Linked DNA regions of Tribolium castaneum. The main gene of each other region encodes a partner of the protein of the gene in region 3 in a complex. Links are inferred from orthologs where the notes say so. Each region holds a gene or a part of one and is shown on either strand. Other genes may lie near its edges.

Region 1 (4,540 bases), on a different chromosome or scaffold from region 3:
CTCAAAATATCTAATATAGTTTTTGAGTTAGAGGTAACTTTATTTTAAAAATTTTTAGTCATAGTACGTAGTGGTCTTTAATTTTAAGCCAGTTTAATTTAAACAAGAATTCTACCCCACTTTTAGCGTAAGAGGGTAGGGGGTGATTTGGCGCGACAAGGGCCCAGAGTTGGGCGAATAGTATTAGTAGGTTAGCAGTAAGAGAACCCTGTTGACAGAAGACAAAATAAAGTTGTTATTGTTGGAAGATGGTGTTTTAATGCAATAAACATACAGTCCACATTTAAAAAACTGTATGTTTATTCGCATTAAAACACCACCTTCTAACAATAACAATATTTTCTAACATTCTAACAATAACAAATTATTTTGTCTTCCGTCAACAGGGTTCCCTTACTACTAACTTACTAATACTACTGCTCCCAATTCTGGGCCTTTGTCGGCCCAAACCACCCTCTACCCTCTTGTGCTAAAGATAGAGTAGAATTCTTAACATACATCATCCCCTAGAAATTAACCATCCTTAATTAGAAATTTTAAATGAAACCCCCTGCTTTTTGAAGCTACCCCTAACTAAAAAAAGTCAACAAATATTAGTTTTCTCCACGCTTAACTTTATTGCCTCCCATCCAAAAATGTTTCAAAAAGTAGAGAGAGCTATTTAAAATGTTAAAGAAATGTAGGTTTTTAAACTCTACCCTCGCAGACTAAAATATTGTTTGTCTTAATTAAATAGGCTTAAGATCTAGTAGAATAGCAAAACAAATTATTATAAAGGTCATCTATGACTGTTAGACGCGATGTGTCGTTGAATCAAAATTTTGAATGCTGGCAAACAAAAGCAAAAGCGCTTCAAACTTAGAAACTACAGAACATACACAAGAAAATACAAAAACGTAAAACACAAATAAAGACAAACGATACAATTGAAACAACATTGCCTAAAAAAAATGAAAAAACAACTAATTAACAGATCTTACAGAGATGACAGTAAGTACTCAGAAACTACAGCAGTCATTTGAACGAAGCGGTATTGAATTTAGATTCCATAGTCGACTTATTGATGAAGAAGCAGATTTGCACACTCTAGATTATCAAGTAATTAAACACCAAATTATGGAAACTCAAAAAAGCACACAGCCGAATTGCTGCACAAAATACAGGGTAAAATATAAAAATATATTTTTGAAAAAATATTCTTTGTCACTTTTGATCGTTGTTAGAGTCTTTGTCACACCTCCTTTTTGTCGTATTTTTTTAAATCGTTTAACAACACTGAAATCTTCACAAACGTCATCAGCACTGCTTTACAGTATCTATACAGCGTGTTAAGAAATGGTTTAGCAAAAATTTGAAGGTAGATAAAGAATGGCAAAACAAATCGATTAGGTATATTCCCAAAAAATCATTCTGAAGCTAAATTCCTAAATTTTGAGAATCGCTGAACTGGAATTATAAAAATTAGTGTATATTTTAAAATTATTGACAAAACGGCAGAGGTGAATTTACTTTTTGGTCCACTCTGTAATTCTTCTATTTCAACTAGTAAATTTAACCGTCAAAACCCTTAGCCGATGAAACCAATTTCAATAAAGATGATATTTAATTCGCATTGCTAAATAATTTATTCTCCCTATGGAGAATAAAACACAAACACAATTACCGAAGTGACAAACTGTAAACAAATATCTGCTAAAATTTGCAAATAAAACATAGTTTTGTTTTTAACTGGAGCCATCTTTTCTTATTTTTATTTTAAGCAATTGGATTCAAATTGAAAAGTAAAATTATGTCGTTTGAGGTCGGAGTACCTACCGATCCCAAACCGAGGTTTATTGCCATGACATTTTCAAATCACCCTACTGTACTTAATATTGACGAATGTAAAATTTTGAATAAATTTTGAACATAATAAACCAGATATCTATCTATCTATCTATATTCTTGAAATTCGAAGTTGCAATCATATTATGATAGAACCGAAAAACGTTCTTATAAAAACGGCTTACGATCAATGTTTTCCTACACTGTTAATAGATGTAATACATCTGTTAACATTTAACTGATAAATCAGTCACTGTTAGTCAAATAAAAAAAAGTTAAAAATGCAAAAACCATACAGCTGGTTTTGCATCTACACGACTCAAATATGAACCAATTTGTCAATAGTGAAATTGTTATTGCGTTTACTTTTAGACTTTTTCGCGTTGTAAGCAGCCAGACGCTCCTCCCTCAGCTTGGCGGCGGCTTCGTTCTCCTCCTCGGATTCGGAGCCGAACAGATCGACGTCGTCGTCGTCGTCAGCGGCGGGTTTCGGGGCTGGTGCAGGTTTGGGAGCGGAATTGACGCTTTTCTCGACTTTGGAAAGACGCAATTCTAGCTGTTTTATGCTCTCCACCATCGCGTTAATAGCTGTGGAATAATTATTAATTTGGGTTTGAGTGGTTATAAAGCGTACTTTTCTCAAATTCGACGGCCTTTTTCTCGAAGAATTTGATCGCGCCGTGATCAGTGGATTGGGTCTCGGACGCAGGGGCCTGTAATTTTGAGCCGTAAGACAATTGGTCATTGAAAGATTGATGGGTTAGTATGGGATGCAAATGGGTTAAGTCAAGCCTTTACTCACATCTTTAAAAGAATCCCTACTTTGAATAAGAAGTTGTCGCGCCTTGGCAACTTCGCCCGCCAAAGGAGTTACGGACGCCTACACCAAACAGAACACCATTATGTTAATACCAGTACGTCTCGTACTCGAAAATAAACACCCAATTAGTAGGACAAGTGTCACCTAGACAAGAACAATACTTTTGCCGATTTTCCATATGAATTTTGTTAGATTTTGAAGAAATGGAAGCGAATTGAATACTACTCTAAACGGTTTTATTTTTGCACGGTTTCACTGTTCTAGCCACTTACCTTTGCCAAGTTCTCGTAATACTTTGTCTCTGCGTCCTCGTAAATTGATTTGGTGAGCCAAATATTCTCGTATTGCATGTACTCCATTGCGGCTAAAAGTATTTCAGGTTAGAACACACGTGTCGTAATTTTGAAACAAACACAGTCAAGACTATCAAATAACTACTAACAAATTCAATCTTGACTTTGGCTAACTACGCCTACAAAAATTACCTAGAATTTTTGCTGTTTTTTAATAGATTTCTTGTACTCTGTTATATGGGGAGACAGCTGTTCTCGAAAAGGTTATGTCGACAGGGTCGCCAACACAAAAAATAAAATCCCCAGACCCGGGAACACATTTGATTCAAATATGTTTAAATATTTCCAAGTGTTTCGATTAAAACCTAAACTCAAGGACTTATCTCTAAAAGAATACCAGATGTCATTTTTTGCAAAATTTTTATTTGGGCAAGCAGCCATTCCCCAAACTCAAGTAGTACCAAAACAGTTTATTTCAAATTCCAAATATACAAAAATATGTATAAAATACAGTCTTTTTAAGTGACTACAAGACTCTAAATTACGATTAAAATAATCCAAAACAATTTGCTTGACTAAAACTGGAACGACACCAAACGCTATAAAAGTTACATCATAGATCTCGCGTCACGCTAAAACAATTAAGTTAAAATCGAATATATTACAATTGACTAATTTATGCTAATAAATATGATTTGTCTATGACTAAAATTGAAGTGAAATGTTTAGCAAAAATTTACAAAGGTTACAACGCTTCTTTACAAATAGATCTCAATATTTAAAACTATTGATCACAGTTTAGAAAAGGCACTAGTGTAGTGAGATAAATAATACGAACGAGGAAACTAACACTTAAGAACAAGTCATAAAATACACATCTTAACTAGTTACGAACAATAGTAACAACATAAACCCCTAACTAGAATCCTTACTCCCTTCTTGGCCTAAAATAAGCTCAAAAATTTCGTCCAAAGTCATCAAATTGTGGTCAACAGTAGTAGCGCTGGCATCCTCTTTTGCCAGCTCCGTTAAATTCTCAAGTTCTTCAGTCAAATCAACCGTTTCATTGTTTTCCTCTGTTGCAGGAACACTTGTGGTATCTTCATTAGCAGTAGAAGGCCGTAATTTATTCAATCTGTAGATTGTTGCTGTCTCCTAAACAGATTTGTTTAGAAAAACACAAAAACAAAGTCAAACAATACTAACAAAGTACTCCATGCTGGCAATGTGGGTTTGAAACGAGTAATTTTCACTTTGGGGTCCCGATTGCACCCGGCGGAGAAGCCCGGCCGAAAGTCGGCTCATTTCCTCGGGATGAGGGCCACCGAGACAGGAGTACAGACGCGGATCGGGGGCGTCTTTAATAATTATGTAGAACACCTCCATGTAGTCGACGCAAGGCTCCAGTTGCGACCAATCGAAACCTATAAATTGTTATTAACTTTTTGATAATCTTACTTCTGCTTAAGTTTGAACTTTTCTCTTTAATTTTTTCATCGAAAAAATTTGATTTCAAAAACTAAGCACAGAAATTTACATCAACATAATTAGCATTAAAAGCTCCAAAAATGTAAAATAAACAGTAGTGATTCATAAAAAAAAC
Region 2 (3,180 bases), on a different chromosome or scaffold from region 3:
GGTCTTTAAACGCAAAAAGCAAATTACACCCAAATTATACTAGGAAGTGAATGCAAAGGAAATGAAACTGCTACAAGTATTTCGCCAAAACAAGACAAAAAAATCTCCGCTTTTTTAGACCTCCATTACGCCATTAAATGATTTAAATCGATTTATTTTTCCGAAGCAACGTTTTTTCGTTAACGTTTTTTAATAATGGACTTACCATTCCTCATTGATTTCCTCATTAGTCCTCGGCATAATCCTCATCACCTCGCCCGTCCTTGTCGAGACCACAATATTCGAACCAACAGCATCCAAAACATCAATCGAGTCAATTTTCCTTATCTCCCAAGGCCTCGCTGTGAAACTATACGGCTTGCTAGTCAGCGCCCCCACGGGACACAAATCAATCACATTTCCCGACAACTCCGACAAGAAAAACTTCTGTACGTAAGTACCAATTTCCATACCGGAGCCCCGTCCCGTCGTCCCCAAATCATCAACCCCTGCGATTTCGGACGCGAAACGAATACACCTCGTGCAGTGAATACACCTCGTCATTATCGTCTTAATCAAAGGCCCTATATCCTTATCCTCCACAGCCCTCTTCCCCGAGAAGTCTATATCGGTAAACCGTGACCTATCGGACCCGAACGCCATACTCTGGTCCTGCAAATCACACTCGCCCCCTTGGTCGCAAATGGGGCAATCGAGGGGGTGGTTCACCAAAAGGAACTCCATGACCCCCTCACGGGCCTTTTTAGTCATCTCGGAGTTGGTTTTAATGCGCCACCCTAAACGTCACAACCTAAAGTACGATTTTTGGGCAACAAAATTGATTACCTTTCATAACAGGCATGGCACAAGCCGCCACAGGTTTGGGGGACTTTTCCACTTCCACGAGACACATTCGGCAGTTACCAGCAACCGCGAGACGCTCGTGGTAGCAAAATCGGGGGATTTCCACACCGACCAAAGCCGCGGCTTGCAGGACGGTGGTCCCAGGTTCCACCAAAACAGGCTGATCGTCAATAAAGACTTCGATTTTTTCCGGCTTTTTAGCAACATCACTCGCGGCCCGAGACAGGACGGTGATGTGCTTGGGGCCCAGCTTGGACCCCGTGAGGGCTTTTAAAAGGGTGGTACGCAGCATTTTCTACAAGAAATAGAAGTTTTTGACGCAAATGTCCATTACATAATTGACTGGTTTTATAACCCAACTTTACACCAAAGCACAAATAAACATCCAACAAAATTTTATAACGTAACCACGTAATGATTTTCAAATAAACTGTTTGTGACAAAAACGTGCCAATTTCCTTAAATTACCTTATTTTTGTGTTTTCAATAACAAACGTCAAAAAATGACGTCCATTACTAAAGTTGGTGGCACTGAACTAACCTAAAAAACTCTCTTTCCGTTACCATCTGTCACTGGCGTGGTCACTCTCACATTTGCACTCAAAAAATGGGCAAACCCAGCTTTGGCGACCTCAAAACCGACAAAGGTGTGAAGGAACTGAACAGTTTCCTCGAAAGTCGCAGCTACATCGAAGGGTGGGTCATTCATAATCAATTTCACACCACCTAACCTCGCTTTTAGCTACTCGTTGTCTCAGGCCGACTTGGACGCGTTTGGCAAGCTCCAAAAGGCCCCAGCTGCGAATTTGCCCCACGCTTTGCGTTGGTACAACCATGTCAAGTCTTTCACTCCTGCGGAGCTGAAGTCGTTGGGGGTTTCGGGGGCATGCCCCATGAAAACTGCAGCTCCGACCACCAAAGATGATGATGATGATGTCGATTTGTTCGCGTCTGACGAGGAAGAGGATGCGGAGGCTGCCAGAATAAGGGAGGAGCGTCTGAAGGCCTACGCTGAGAAGAAGTCAAAGAAACCGGAACTTATTGCCAAGTCAAGTATTGTGCTTGATGTCAAGCCCTGGGATGATGAGACCGATATGAAGGAGATGGAGAAGAATGTCAGGACTATTGAAATGGATGGGCTGGTTTGGGGGGCCTCCAAGTTGGTTCCTGTGGGCTATGGAATCAACAAGTTGCAAATTATGTGCGTGGTTGAAGACTTGAAGGTGTCTGTTGATGAGTTGGTCGAGAAGATTCAGGAGTTTGAGGATTTCGTCCAGTCTGTCGACATTGCAGCCTTTAATAAGATTTAAAAATGTAATTTTTCAAGATGAATAAATGCGTTTATTGATGAGTTTGGATTAATTTATAAAGGCGCAAATTACTAAACCCGGATTGTGATTGTGATGATTGAGAGTCAAGTCTGGTATTTGGTTGGTAATAAAATTCTCTTGGTTCTGGGGGTTTCACATAGTTGGATAAAACCGGTTCTTTGTCTTTTTGGGGCAAAGGTTCCCTCGATGTTATGACCGGTGGTGATTTAGAGGGCACCTCTAGTGGTATCAAATCTTTATAAATTGGTTTGTCTAAGGGAAAATTCACTTTTCGAGTCACCTACAAAGTAGAATGTTACTTCATGAAAATAACAAGTTTCAATCACCTTTTCACATAACGCAACATTGGAAACCTTAGTGCTGGTCGCACTTTTGACCTTCTCGATTTTCTCAGATATTTTTCTGAGCGAATTAAGCTCCGGAAACTCAAAATTTGGTTCACTCTCTTTCCGTTGATTTCCCTTTTTCCCTACATTTTCGCGTTTAGCGTCAGTCACAAGTTTGGTTTTGGGCACCGGCAGCTCGGTATTCCGCACAAGAGTCACCTTGGTTTCGTTTTTCTTAAATTTACTCATGATTGTTTACCCCTAATTCAAATTTGTGAGGTTATGTCTGCCCAAAAGTGAGGTTATACAAGATGAGTCTTGAACCAACTGGCGATATTTTGGACCAGTATCACACGATTTCGAGCAAACTGAAAAAGTGAGCCCCTTAATGCACCATGCAAATATAAAGTGCCCCCTTGTAGGCGCTTCCTGCGTAAGCCAAACGTTACAGAAGCCTGCGAGTCGTTCAGTTCGTTGGGGAAACAATGCGAAGCCTCAGAACTGCCAGCTTATGCCGGAATGTGCTGGATTTCGTCAGCAAGGTGCGAGGGGTCTTTGGGGAACACCCCAGGTGAGGCGTCTTGTTTGACGCGAGCCGCGCGCCAGTTTTTATCAGCTGAGACGAAAGACCACGAGTTGGGGTGCCCCAGCCCTTGTCAGGAGAACCTGGAGGCTGCTGT
Region 3 (4,664 bases):
TGTTTCGAATATGGTCCGTGACCGTGATGTTTTTCTCGATAAAGTAGGTCCCGTCCTTGTTGGGGCCCGACGTCCAATCGCCGTAGACAAGGTTGTCCCGATACCAAAATAAATTAGAGGGGTTATAATCGTCCAGGTCTTCCTTTTCGGAGATGTAAACATGCAACGTGAGAGGGGTCCCCTCGATGAACATGTTCTGTGCGGCGAAGGACGGTGTAGTGACCCCCGTGTTGTTGGTCTGCGGGGGCGCAGGTTTGCGGAAGAAGGACGTGATGAAGTAGATGATCAAGGCGCGGATTATTAGCGATTTGGTGATTGCGAAAAATGACTCCATTCGGGTTGGCTGATGCTGCGGTTGCTGGGGCTAGAAATGGGGGCTTAGGAGGATTTGTGCGATTTTATTGATTTGCTTACTGCATTTTGGGTCGGTTGGGTTTCGTCCGGTTTGGCCACTTGGCCGTTGGCTGACGGATTATTCTCGGCTTGGGGATCAGCCATTTCGTGTCAATTTCTCAATTCTTTTGAAATTTAATTAATCATTGACCACATCACATGAACGAAATGACTTTTCGTTTTGAATTTTATGAGGTTGGTATCGGTAATGAGTCGTGGTTAGGGCAGGGTAGCCAACGCGAACAGCGGACAGGGCCGGGCTCAGGCAACTTTTATACAAAATATCCTTAATCTCTGTTCATCTAACAATCACCAAAAACATAAATTAATCGCACAACCAAAGTTACAAATAAAATAAAAAAATAATAGTGTTTATTCAATAAAACAAACACAGAAGAAAAATTCGACTTGACATTTTCCAAAGCACTCTTCGCAAAAATGATTTCTTGCATGTAAGATTCAATCATATCACGTGATGATACATCGTTGTCATCAGAAGTAAAAACACTTATAACAAATACGAAATGCAAATGTGGCATTCATAAGAATACCCAAAGTTGAGTGTTGCAACTCTGTAATCAAGAACGCCTTGGAAAAAATGACGAAGGATTTAGATTTTTTTGTAAAAATTGCCTGAAGAATGTTCTACTTTTTCTTTGGTATTTGCTTGTAAAAAAAAAAAAACAAAAATTAGAAATTTTTGTGTTATTTTTTTAGTAATTCAAAAAAAACGACACCAAATTTTTTTTAGATAATTGAACAGGCTGTAAAAACAGAGTAAAAAGTACTATATTTTGGCTTTAGTTTTTTAAAACTTTCCAAAGTATGGCAAAAAATGTCTCTCTGTTAATAAAAAGTGTTTATTTTTAAATATTTATATTTTTTTTCTTCTTTTCTGAATTAACTAATAAATGTTTTTTTCTTTTTTAAAGACTATGTCATAGGCAGAAAAGCCCAAAGTTAAGTACCCCGAGGCGGCAATGCACCTAAATACGTTACTATGTGGAATTATCAAGTATTTTTTATTTATTCAAGGAACAAAGATACCACGCGATCATCGGAATTTATAATTAGAATAGACGTTTTTTTTGTATATAATGTGTATATAATTGATAGACAGGTGCATTTAGTTCTTCAGCTTAATTAATTATTATAATCAGCGTTTTCTTGGTTTTCATACAAGATAAAAAGTACCTTATAAAGCCTACTAGAAAATAGGCATTTAATCCTTTAGGGCAGAAAGTCTAAGTACGGTTCTGTTATTTTTAGTGGGCCTTTTTAAAGAAAAAAAATAATTTGTATAATTCCTGGAAGATGTGTGCAATTTAGTGTTGTTTTTTGCACAAAAGCGGGCATTTCGAGGCTGTAAAAATCGAAAAAAAAAGGCCTAAGCCCGACACGTCACCAGACCGCAAGCCCAAAATTCCCTATGCAGCTGTCAAACTCTTCAAGTCCTTTTCTGTGAGAAATTGGACGAGCAATGGCTGCAGGAGTAAGTATTATCGAAATTTCCTCAAATATCTCGCATTTATGACACAATCATCGGCAGAAAACCGTTGAATAACCCAAATCCGGCATTATCTTTGACAGTTTTGTGTTTATTTTTTCAGACACTGTACACCTATCCCGACAATTTCCGTGCTGCTAAGGCTTTAATCGCTGCCCAGTACTCCAAAAGCAATGTTAAAGTAAGCCCAAACTTTGTGTTCGGTGAAACCAACAAGTCGAAAGAATTCTTAAAGAAATTTCCCAGTGGAAAGGTGAGTCTGGACGCGCTTCAAAATTGAGGTTAAGTCACACTGGACAGTTGTATAGGTGCCAGCTTTCGAGTCAAACGATGGCAAGTATCTGCAAGACAGCAACGCAATTGCTTACTACGTCGCCAATGAACAATTGAGAGGCAAGTCGGAGTACGAGAAAGCCCAGATTTTGCAATGGGTGGGCTTTGGAGAGTCGGAGATACTCCCAGCTGGCTGTGCCTGGGTGTTCCCCATTTTGGGGGTTGTCAAGAAGAACGCCGCCACTGAGGAGGTAAATTACGTATTTTCTCGCGTCCTCCTTCAAAGGCAAATTAACCAATCCGGTTGGTTGATTTGTAACTCAAGGAGGTATATTAAGACAATTACCCATTACTGAGTGTCTCGGTGGCGCTCAGTTAAGTTATATTATTGTAACAAGTGATTTTCGCCCAGTTTTGTCACTAGACTGACCCAGTTTTCGTGATTCTAGGGATATGCAAGAGCCAAGGAGGACATGAGGGCTGCTCTGGCAATCCTAGACAGCCATTTGCTTACCCGTACTTATCTAGTTGGGGAACGTATCACTTTAGCTGATATTGTTGTAGCTTGCAATCTTTCAAATTTATACAAATATGCGTTCGATCCCGACTTTAGAAAACCATTCGTCAACGTTAACAGATGGTTCACAACTTTAATCAACCAACCTCAGTTTAAGGCCGTTTTGGGCCAGGTGCAATTTTTGGACAAAGTTGCACAACCTTTCACCGGCGCGCAGGGAGGTGAAGGTAAGCCAAAGTTTTTTTAACGGTTCAAATGATCAGTATTTAATTCTTTTGCTGCATAAAATTCTATGAGTAAATGGTCTTGTTTATAATGTATACCGTACTATGGAGAGTTAAATACTAGGAAGCAAACGTCGGTACTAACTCGATTTCTGTTTCCTAACGTTAGTGTGTAATAGTTGTTTACCTAACGAGTTTGGAAAGTGCAAAAAGTCCGGGGACTTTTTTTATATTCCTAGACTTTTTTTGTCTTCAACAGTATTTCTAGTATTTTGATAAATATGCGACGGTGTTCAAAGCAATTATCGCAATAAATGTGTTGCATCCTAGTGTCCATATGCTGCACATAATGGATTAAGTACTGTTCAGTTTATTGCAACCTGTGTTAAATCCCTTAACCCAAAAATAATTTTACAAGCTGCTAATACTAACAGTATTGTTGCGGAGAAAAATAATAAAAAGAAGAGTAAGTTAAGTGTGGTTTTATTCGTCTTGCTTAGTTGCTTTTCCACCAACAGGTAAGAACAAAAAGAAAGAGGAGAAAAAAGAGAAGAAGCAGCAGCAGCAGCCTAAAAAGGAAACACCAAAAAAGGAGAAAGAGCCCGTTGAAGAAATGGATGCGGCTGAAGCAGCGCTCGCTGCCGAGCCCAAATCGAAGGACCCCTTTGAATCCATGCCCAAAGGGACGTTCAATATGGACGATTTCAAGAGATTTTATTCTAACGAAGATGAAGCCAAATCAATTCCGTATTTCTGGGAGAAGTTCGATCCTGAAAACTACACTATTTGGTACGGGGAATATAAGTACCCTGAAGAGCTCACTAAGATTTTTATGAGCTGCAATTTGATCACCGGAATGTATCAGAGATTGGATAAAATGCGCAAACAAGCCTTTGCCTCAGTTTGTCTTTTTGGTGAGGACAATAACAGTTCAATCTCCGGGATTTGGGTGTGGAGGGGCCACGACCTCGCATTCACTGTACGTTGATTCTGTGTTTTTAAAATTGGTTTGATTGAGTTTTGTAGTTGAGTCCTGACTGGCAAATCGACTACGAGTCGTATGATTGGAAGAAATTGGATGCAAAATCAGAAGAGACTAAAAAATTAGTTGCCCAATACTTCTCATGGACTGGCACTGACAAAAAGGGAAGGAAGTTTAACCAGGGCAAAATCTTTAAGTAAAACCTGAGGTGTAATATATTTTTTTTACAACCATGTCCTTTTGATAATTTAATTTAAATCCATCGTTTGTCAGTTGTTTAACCCTAACTGTTTTTCTTTCAATAAAACGCTTTGAGGATAATTTATGTTTTATTTGAATAAACCTATTACACTATAAGTCGGCTTCAAACTGATCGTCTCTGTTGAGGGGATCACCTTTCAACAAAGCCACAATCATGCTAAAAATAAACAAGTTGCGCAATGTTTGATATAAATAGACACAACTCACCAGTACAGATACGCAAAAAAGAACAGTAAATAATATCCTAAATAAATCATACAGTCCCTCATATGCTTCTTTAATTGACCTCTATTGTGAATCTCTGTGGGGTCATAGATCCCCAAATTTCCACTTGGCACTGATACTAACTCATACACCATCCAAAATGCCATTGGCAAGTTTAGCAGTGCTAAAATCCAATGGCCGTGAATTAAAAACAGAAACGATAAAAACCCATGAGCTATCAATTTAGGGAGACTCCACTGGTTCAGTTTCGAGCAACATTCTTGAGCGTTTAAATAGTCGCAT

Evidence for each region. Proteins that work in one complex are often made in the same cells at the same time.
Region 1: the proteins of eEF1gamma (region 3) and probable elongation factor 1-delta are in contact, whole or in part, in a crystal structure (PDB 5JPO), measured with the Homo sapiens proteins. The link is inferred for Tribolium castaneum from reciprocal best matches to the Homo sapiens genes EEF1G and EEF1D. Residues at the interface, in NP_001395.1 of Homo sapiens: Tyr9, Trp13, Arg14, Phe40, Gly41, Asn44, Gly56, Lys57, Val58, Ser104, Val107, Pro108, Ser111, Thr112, Phe115, Ile120, Met121, His123, Asn130, Glu134; in NP_001123527.1 of Homo sapiens: Ala2, Asn4, Phe5, Leu6, His8, Glu9, Ile11, Trp12, Phe13, Lys15, Phe16.
Region 2: the proteins of eEF1gamma (region 3) and elongation factor 1-beta' are in contact, whole or in part, in a crystal structure (PDB 5DQS), measured with the Homo sapiens proteins. The link is inferred for Tribolium castaneum from reciprocal best matches to the Homo sapiens genes EEF1G and EEF1B2. Residues at the interface, in NP_001395.1 of Homo sapiens: Leu146, Lys147, Thr148, Arg149, Thr150, Phe151, Glu155, Arg156, Pro185, Asn186, Arg189, Leu192, Thr193, Asn196, Gln197, Pro198; in NP_001032752.1 of Homo sapiens: Ala20, Asp21, Lys22, Ser23, Tyr24, Tyr28, Val29, Cys50, His51, Arg54, Asn57, His58, Ser61, Tyr62, Glu65.

Annotation. Positions count from the first base shown.
Region 1 is NC_087403.1:8,552,318-8,556,857, forward strand, and holds the start of probable elongation factor 1-delta, read right to left. Parts: upstream 3,287-4,540; 5' UTR 3,130-3,286; intron 3,015-3,129; exon of another isoform or gene 3,009-3,014; 5' UTR 3,004-3,008; coding exon 2,917-3,003; intron 2,705-2,916; coding exon 2,627-2,704; intron 2,538-2,626; coding exon 2,459-2,537; intron 2,413-2,458; coding exon 2,191-2,412; intron 1-2,190. Other genes in the region: uncharacterized protein CycE, read right to left, coding at 3,853-4,092, 4,144-4,361.
Region 2 is NC_087399.1:8,215,088-8,218,267, forward strand, and holds elongation factor 1-beta', read left to right. Parts: upstream 1-1,403; 5' UTR 1,404-1,450; coding exon 1,451-1,539; intron 1,540-1,585; coding exon 1,586-2,153; 3' UTR 2,154-2,194; downstream 2,195-3,180. Other genes in the region: ND-75 (NADH-ubiquinone oxidoreductase 75 kDa subunit, mitochondrial), read right to left, coding at 206-776, 826-1,135; Hap40 (40-kDa huntingtin-associated protein), read left to right, coding at 2,812-2,876, 2,923-3,180. UniProt on the Homo sapiens protein: Catalytic subunit of the guanine nucleotide exchange factor (GEF) (eEF1B subcomplex) of the eukaryotic elongation factor 1 complex (eEF1).
Region 3 is NC_087402.1:7,326,560-7,331,223, reverse strand, and holds eEF1gamma (elongation factor 1-gamma), read left to right. Parts: upstream 1-1,724; 5' UTR 1,725-1,873; coding exon 1,874-1,885; intron 1,886-2,003; coding exon 2,004-2,153; intron 2,154-2,208; coding exon 2,209-2,424; intron 2,425-2,622; coding exon 2,623-2,917; intron 2,918-3,332; coding exon 3,333-3,380; intron 3,381-3,432; coding exon 3,433-3,893; intron 3,894-3,940; coding exon 3,941-4,096; 3' UTR 4,097-4,217; downstream 4,218-4,664. Other genes in the region: putative lipid scramblase CLPTM1, read right to left, coding at 1-364, 415-498; cnir (protein cornichon homolog 4), read right to left, coding at 4,248-4,314, 4,365-4,664. UniProt on the Homo sapiens protein: Probably plays a role in anchoring the complex to other cellular components.